Ovis aries: one gene and its partner. The protein of the gene in region 2 interacts with the protein of the main gene of each other region in a biochemical or structural test. Links are inferred from orthologs where the notes say so. Each region holds a gene or a part of one and is shown on either strand. Other genes may lie near its edges.

Region 1 (4,392 bases), on a different chromosome or scaffold from region 2:
TCATCTTAAGTCACAGCACCAGGGAGATATTTTCATCCTCATCTCTTAGATTAAAAATGCTGAACCTCAGGGACTTCCCTGGTGGTCCAGTGGCTAAGACTCCATGCTCCCAATGCAGGAGGCCCAGGTTCAATCCCTGATCAGGGAACTAAAACCCACATGCCACAACTTACGAGAGTTCACGTGTCGCAATTAAGACCCTGCGCTGCCACATAAAATGATACATATATATATTTTTAAATGCCGAACCTCAGAAAGGAAAGCCATCACGCAGGCACAGAGTTGGTGAGCCTGCCTCATCTATTCCTCCTGTGTGTATGTTAGTCGCTCAGTCGTGTCTGACTCTTTGGGACCCCGTGGACTATAGCCCACCAGGCCCCTCTGTCCATGGACTTCTCCAGGCAAGAATACTGGAATGAGTAGCCGTTCCCTTCTCCAGGGGTTCTTCCCGCATCTCCTTATATGTGTGTGTGCATGGGATTGAACCCTTGTCTCCTGCATTGGCAGGTGGATTCTTTACCACTGAGCCACCAGGGAAGCCCTTATTCCTCATAAGCATTAATAATAACCGACCTTTACTGAGCACCTATCCACGTGCCGGGGTCCTGTGTTCAGCGCTGTGCATGTACAACCTCTTTTGTTGGAGAAATTCTCTTTTCCAACCCCAAGAAGGGAGGACACAGAGGCTTAGGGACTCCCCATGCTCCAATGGTTAAGAAGCCGCCCTGCAAGGCAGGGGACGTGGGTTTGAGCCCTGGTCAGGAAACTAAGATCCCGCGTGCCATAAGGCAATAAGCCCATGGCCACAACTAGAGAATCTGTGTGCCCCAACGAAAGATCCCGCATGACACAGCAAAGATCTCATATGCTGCGACTAAGACCCAATGCAACCAAATAAATTAATAAGTATCTAAAAAAAAAGAAGTGAGGACACAGGCTCGGAGAGGGGACAAGTTTTGCCCGAGGCCAATGAGAGGCAAAGACCAAGCTTGGAACCACCACCACCCTTGACTGCCTGTGTGCAGCAGGCCCCCCAAACCCTGGCTCCCTCGAGCAGGGCGGGTTTCCTTTCCAGTGACGAGCCAGGCCTTGAACCAATCTCTTCCCCCCACCCAAGCAGCCTCCTCTCAGGGGAGTTGTGGTGGCCACAGGTGCAAGAAGCGGTTCCTCTCCACTCACGGCCTGAAGCCTCCCCCACCAGGGGCTTCCCCCTCGCCCGCCAGCCAAAGGGCCCAGCAGTGGGGCCAGTGAAGCCCGTCTCCGCAGGGCCGGGCAGGAAGTGGGGCGGGGTTTGGGGCTCAGCGAGGTGGGATCTGGTACCCCAGGACTGCTGCAACCCAGACTAACCAACCCACTGGGAGAAGATGCCTGAGGGTCCCCAAGCCCTGCAAAGCTCACCTGCCACCATCTTTCTCCTCCTGATCTCCGCTGCTGGCCTGGGTATGTGGTTAGCAGGCAGGTGCTGGGGGAGGCGGTAGTGGGAACTGGGAGACTGTTGAGAGGGGCCCCAGGCAGAGGGGGAGGGAGAGGAGCTGGCAGGAGGCAGGCTAGAAAAGACCCTGTAGAAACTGCATCTGTCTGCTTGATTGTCTCAAACAGGCCGGTGGGAGGCTGGAGGGGGCTCAGCGAAGTTGAAGGTGCGTCCTGGCCCGGTGGAGGGAGGCAGGGGCAGGAGACACCTTCCCCAGCCGCTCATCCCCCCTGATCAAAATAAGGAACTAAGGTTGCCCTTGACTGACTGAGCTCCAGAGCTGGGGGCAGGGAGGGGACGGTGGTGGGTAGCAGTCAGCTTCAAGGGGGAGAAAAATCTTTCTCCTTTTCTGCCTTGAATCCTAGTCTTCACCCCCTACTTAGGGAACCCCCTTCTCAGTGCTGGGGGAGCAAGTGACCTTCCCCCTTGCCCTCCCACACAATGCCAGCTGGCAGGGCTGTGACCACCCTGTTTGACCAAGGAGTTGAGAGAGGCATCCAGTCACCCCAAATTTCCACTGGGAGCTGAGATTGGAGTGACTCCTCAGGTTGCTGTCTCTTACCCCACTTCTTCCTTCTTCTCTCTTCCCCACCTCTCCCCTCCTCCCTCCAAAAGAGGCAGAGCCAGCCATGCGGACTGGCCCAGGAGGAGGGGCACAGAACTGGGCCTTCCCCCGTGCCTGGGCCGCCCCATCTCCTTCGACCCAGCTGAGGCCCTCCCAGCCCTAACCAGCCAGCTCAGCCCAGTCCCTGACCTCACCCCTGGCCCCCAGCATGACACAAGCAAGCCAAGGAGAATGAGGGCCGGACCCAGGGTCACAGGGCAGGGCAGGCTCACAAACTGGCGAGAAGAGGCCCAGGGCCAAGGGACGCCTGCTGCTGTGGGTCGCAGCTGGCCCACTGGTAGAATGGGTTATGACAGAACCGATTCCTATGGGTTCTGTGATAATTACACAAAGTAAAGTGCCAGTGTGGAGCCAGGCAGGGGCTGGGTGAGAAAATAATCCAGGAGGGCCTTCAGGAGGAGGTGATGCCCAAACTGATTTTGTAAGGAGCTTCCTGGCCTGGGGCACTGCTAGTCCTAGGGAACTGCCTATTCAAGTGCCAGCGAGCTCAGAGGGGGTAGAAGCACAGAGCAGGGGGCAGAGGGAGGAGGTGGCTCTGGAGGGGCAAGTGGGGACACCTCCCAGCCCCCCCTCCACTCTGGGTGTGTCACTCACACTTCCCCACACCCCACCCCACATACACATACACACACGCAGCCAGGAGCCCTGCAGCTACCAGGGGCCGCGCTGGGTCAGTGTCCCCGTTGGCTGTCTCCAACCCGCCTGCCTCCTCTCTGCAGGCCCCGGGTGCCAGGCCCTGTGGGTGGAGTGGGGCCCACCCTCGGTGACGGTGAGCGTGGGGGAGGAGGTGCGCCTCCAGTGCATGCACAACGGCAGCAACACCAACGTCACGTGGTGGCGCGTCCCCCAAGGCAACTCCTCATGGCCCCCTGTGATGCATCGCGGGAGCCTGGGTGCCGGGGGCGAGCTGATCTTCAAGCAAGTGAACAAGAGCCACAGGGGCATGTATAGGTGCGAAGTCAGTGACGGCAAGAAGATACAGCGCTCCTGCGGGACGTACCTCCGCGTGCGAGGTGAGTGTCCATCCCGTCCATCCGTCGGGAAGGCGGGATGGAGCCCGTGCCGGCATCGCCTGCATCTCGGGCATCCTGGGTCTCCGGCTCTCACGCAGCGGCCAGTCTTCTCACCTGCAAAGCGGGAGCGGCTTCCAGGGTCTTGGGCCTCGCTGGAGGGGGCGTGGCCTAGGGGCGTGGCCAGCGGCAAGGTGGGGCTCTGAGCCGTATTCCCTCCTCACAGAGCCGCTCCCCAGGCCCTTCCTGGACATGGGGGAGGGCACCAAGAACAACATCATCACCGCTGAGGGCATCATCCTCCTCATCTGCGCCGTGGTGCCTGGAACGCTGCTGCTCTTCCGGGTGAGCCCGCCCCCCAGGCCCACCCCGCGGGAACTAGCGGACCCCCAAGAGTCCCTCCCGCCTAGAACTTGGCAGAATGGCAGCGCCCACCTCCCAGGCGCCGAGGGCCTAAAAATTTAATAGAATGAACGCATTCAAACTGTGCTGGGACCAGAGGGGCGTCCTTGCTCAGTCTCCCCTCAGGGTTGTCTTCACCTCTGGCCCCAGGGATGCCTCACTGGTCCCTCTATCCAGGAGGGCTGTACCCTTCAGATGTAGCCCAGGACGGGGAAGATGGGAGCTGGTGTCATCCCGGATGTCTGACCCCCACCGGAGACTCTGGCATGCCTGTGGGTTCAGCCGCTAAGCGGTGTGTCTGGTTCTTTTGCGCCCCGTGGCCTGTAGCCCGCCAGGCTCCTCTGTCCATGGGATTTCCTAGGCAAGAATACCTGAGCTTCCACAGTGGCTCAGCAGTGAAAGAATCCACCTGCAATGCAGGAGACGTGGGTTCCATCCTTAGGTCGGGAAGATCCCCTGGAGAAGGGAATGGCAACCCACTCCAGTATTCTTGCCTGGAGAGTCCCATGGACAGAGCCTGGCGGGCTACCGGCCACAGGATCGCAAAAAATGTCAGACACAACCGAGCGACTAAAACAACAACAAATGCTCTTTAGGCCACAAGACAACTATAGCCACTTAGTATTATTGCTCTCACTATTTGTGGGGAAGAATAGGCAGTGGGGACAATCAAAAGGACACTGGCTTGGACCCAGAGTGGCCCGCCACTTACAGGATATGTGACTCTGGGCATGTCCCTCAACTCCTCCTGGCCTCCACGAGGGTCTGAAAACACGATCTCTATCTGCCCGCCCTCCGCCCCCACTCACTGAGGCTCCCCATCCCACAACAGAAACGATGGCAGAACATGAAATTCGGGGCTGATATCCAGGATGACTACGAAG
Region 2 (3,808 bases):
CAGGGGATTCACAACTCCCCTCCCCCTCCCATTCAAGGAAACCATTGAGGGGAGGAATGTGTAGTTTTACCAGATGAGTAGTTGCAACCCTGCATATACCTTAGAATAACCTGGGGAACTTTTTAAACCTATAATGAAAGGTCCTTCCCTAGAAGTTTTAAACTGCATGTTTGCGGTGGGGCCTTGGCATTTTTTTTAAAGCTCCTAGGTGGTTCCTAGGGGCTTCCCTTGTAGCTCATATGGTAAAGAGTCTGCCTGCAATGTGGGAGACCCAGGTTGGATTCCTGAGTCAGGAAGGTCCCCCGGAGAAGGAAATGGCAATCCACTCCAGTATTCTTGTCTGGAAAAATTCTATGGATGGAGGAGCCTGGCAGATAGAGTCCATGGAGTTACAAAGAGTCAGACATGACTTAGCAACTAACACATTCACTTTCACAGGTGGCTCCTATGTGTAAGCAGGATTGAGAATCATCACACTTAAGGCTTCAGGGAGCAAAGTGAACCCACTGAGGATTACTGCTCCCCTTAGCCCCCGACACTGCCAAGGTCACCATCTACTCTATTTAGCCGCATGCTTGGACTATCAGCTCTCCTGGGTCTGTGGGTTTCATGGCTCCCTGGGAGGATACTGTTCTGGTTTTTATAATGTAGGTCAATGGGTTGTTGAAATTGTTGCCTGTCATACTTTTTAAAGGAATGCCCCAGTCAAGAGCATGTTGGCTACATGGATGCTGGTAGTTTTCTACTTTCTAGAACTCGGTGGCTTCTGCCCAAGAAATGATCCAGAACCCTTTCATCTTATGTTTTGTTGTTCTTGCTGTTCCTCTCAAGACAACCGATCAAGCCAGAGGCAGTCTCCACCCTTCAGCAAGACTCTTCCCAGTAAACCCAACTGGCCTTCGGCAAAAGCGAGACTGGCCACCTCTCTGCCGGCCAACACTTCACTGCATAAACCTCAAGTCCCACCCAAACCCAAAGAGATCCTTGAGGATGAGGTAAAGTAAATCTGTCCGGGGAAGGCTGCCCAGACCACGGGGAAGGCTGGACGCAGGGGCCAGATGAGGGGAGGGGCAGGACAGTGTAGCCTCAGATGTGTCTTCCTTCCTCCAGGCTTGGGTCTCTGACCGGCCCTAACCACCTGCCCTGAAACTCTCCACTGTCCTGCTGAAAGGATGTTTTCTCTTAAAATGTCACATATGGCCTTATTTAAGCACTTTCATGTACTAATCAGGTATATGATGTAATATCCAACCTGGATTTGTGCCCCTCTCACTATTTCCTCTTTCTTATCCCTCCGTTTCCTGCAAATCTCTCATTCCTCCATAAGATACTTCCCCACCTTTATCCTCCCATGCTTCTCTCCCTGTCCTGCCTCATGTTCTTTCCCCCACTTTCTTTTCTCTCTGATCCTCTAAGCTGCAGAGGGGTGCAACAGGATGTATACTGGAGACCCCCTGTCTGTATGGAGACCCTGCACAACCCGTGGAAGAACTGACCCCGCACTTCCTTCGGCATCTCTTGCTTCTCTCTCTCTCTCCCCAGCCCCAGGTATCCAGGAACCTCCTTTGCCAACTGTCTGGGACCCATTTCTAGGTTTATCTTACCAATATCCCTTCTGCCAGCACCTAAATTTTTCATGTCTTATTCCCTATGAAATTTTAAAAAATGAATGGGTGAACTTATTCGGACTATTGTAAGAATGACTGATAAAGCCTAATACGTTATGGCTCCCAGAAGTACTGCATTTAAAGAAAGTCAAAGACAAGCCCTCAAACTTAGCCTTTAGAACATTTGTACAAGTGCAATGGGCTTCCCAGGTGGCTCAGTGGTAAAGAATTCGCCTGCCAATGCAGGAGATGTGGGTCTGATCCCTGGGTCAGGAAGATCCCCTGGAGTAGGAAATGGCAACTCGCTCCCGGATTCTTGCCTGGGAAATCCCATGGACGGAGGAGCCTAGCGGGCTACAGTCCATGAAGTCGCAAAGAGTCGTACATGACTGAGCGACTGAATACACAAGTGCAACAGGCTAAGAAAGAAAACAACATTAAAGGCAACTCTTAACCATCACCAGACATAATGGTACCGCAGCTTCTTGAAGAAGCAACTGTTTCTAAATGCCTATGGGTGATAAAACCTATAGCTTACAAACATGCTGTGAAATGACCTTCTTTTCCACCTTAGCATAATTTGTAGCCCAACAGGAGACATAAAAGAGAGACTTTTAAAATAAAATAGAGGCAGCATCCAGGCCCAAATTCCCACTTCACATTTACTAGTTGTGTGACTTTAGGTATCAGATGGAGAAGGCAATGGCAACCCACTCCAGTACTCTTGCCTGGAAAATTCCATGGATGGAGGAGCCTGGAAGGCTACAGTCCATGGGGTCGCTGAGGGTTGGACACGACTGAGCGACTTCACTTTCACTTTCATGCATTGGAGAAGGAAATGGCAACCCACTCCAGTATTCTTGCCTGGAGAATCCCAGGGACGGAGGAGCCCAGTGGGCTGCTGTCTATGGGGTCGCACAGAGTTGGACATGACTGAAGCGACTTAGCAGCAGCAGCAGCAGCAGCAGGTATCAGATAATCTCTCTGAGTCTCATCTTTTCATCTCTTCAGGTTCCTTTAAAGATTTAAGAAAGGAATATAAATACTTAATTCAGTGTCTCACACAAAGAAACATTCTATGTATTGCATAAACTGGATTCCTTTCTACCATATTCTAGATTCTTTATAAAATCTACTTTTCTAGTTTCTCCTGAAAACCAAGGGCCTGTCAACACATGGCCAGTCATGGCCTCGAAGCAGCTGAGCCTCATGGCACCCTTCCAGCTCAGCTGAGAATCCCCGGCCCCTGTTTCCGTTTGTCATCATCTTCACCACTGACACAAGGCGTGGACACAGCCTGACTCTGCACACGCCCAGTTGCTATTCCGTGCCTGCCTGTAAGCACTTGAGCTTATGAGCCCCCTCTCCAGGGACAGTTTAAGTCAGGAGGTCAGCAGACTGAGAATGAATTTGGTTTGTCAATCCTCAGTCTGTCTGTCAGTCCGAGGGGATGATGCCCTTTCAGGGTGTGAACAGGTGGCAAGGAGAATCTGAGCATGGGACACGGTAGGGAGACCATCGGTTAGGGTCTCACTGTGAATTCTTCCAGCATTCAGAGGGTCTATAGGAAGATACCAACTCAGACACAGAATACAAATGAAGACTGTGAGTTACGTGAGGCTCTCCATTTCTGTGAATAACTGCAGGTGGACCCCAGTGGGGATAGGCCGAGTTTTGCTAATAACAGCTTTTTGGTGGTGGCTCAGGCAAGTCTGAACCAGCGGGGAAAGGGGACGACTGGAGGAGATACATTCTGGAATGAGGAGATGGACAATCAAGATGAGGAAGAGTTAAAAAAGAAATAGAAGACAACATTAAGATCTGGCCAAGACATTAGATAGGAAAGGAAGAAGTCAAATACAAGCACAAATAAAAGTGTGTAGCTCTGCCATACAGGTTACAGGCAAAATATGGGTTACAGGCTGAGCAGAGAGTTGGGGCGAGGGGTGGAGGAGCAACTGCCCTGTAATGACAGGAGGGTCTAGCACTTGACAAGCACTGTGTATCGGCTGGTGATCTGAGCCCTCTGTGTGTATTATCTCATCACACCCTCAGAGCAACCCTATGAAGTGCATGCTAGTATCACCCCCATTACAGAGGAGGAAATGGTACAGATGAGGTGACGAGGGGTTGAAGAACTTGTCCAAGGTCAAAGAGCTATATGCTAGAGCCAGCATTTGGACCCAGATCATGAGATGCTA

Evidence for each region.
Region 1: the proteins of BLNK (region 2) and CD79A form a complex in vitro, tested with the Homo sapiens proteins (2 studies listed by BioGRID). The link is inferred for Ovis aries from reciprocal best matches to the Homo sapiens genes BLNK and CD79A.

The regions. Positions count from the first base shown.
Region 1 is NC_056067.1:50,930,059-50,934,450, reverse strand, and holds the start of CD79A (B-cell antigen receptor complex-associated protein alpha chain), read left to right. Parts: upstream 1-1,339; 5' UTR 1,340-1,364; coding exon 1,365-1,440; intron 1,441-2,815; coding exon 2,816-3,109; intron 3,110-3,332; coding exon 3,333-3,451; intron 3,452-4,340; coding exon 4,341-4,392. UniProt on the Homo sapiens protein: Required in cooperation with CD79B for initiation of the signal transduction cascade activated by binding of antigen to the B-cell antigen receptor complex (BCR) which leads to internalization of the complex, trafficking to late endosomes and antigen presentation.
Region 2 is NC_056075.1:17,382,511-17,386,318, reverse strand, and holds part of BLNK (B-cell linker protein), read left to right. Parts: intron 1-831; coding exon 832-995; intron 996-3,808. UniProt on the Homo sapiens protein: Functions as a central linker protein, downstream of the B-cell receptor (BCR), bridging the SYK kinase to a multitude of signaling pathways and regulating biological outcomes of B-cell function and development.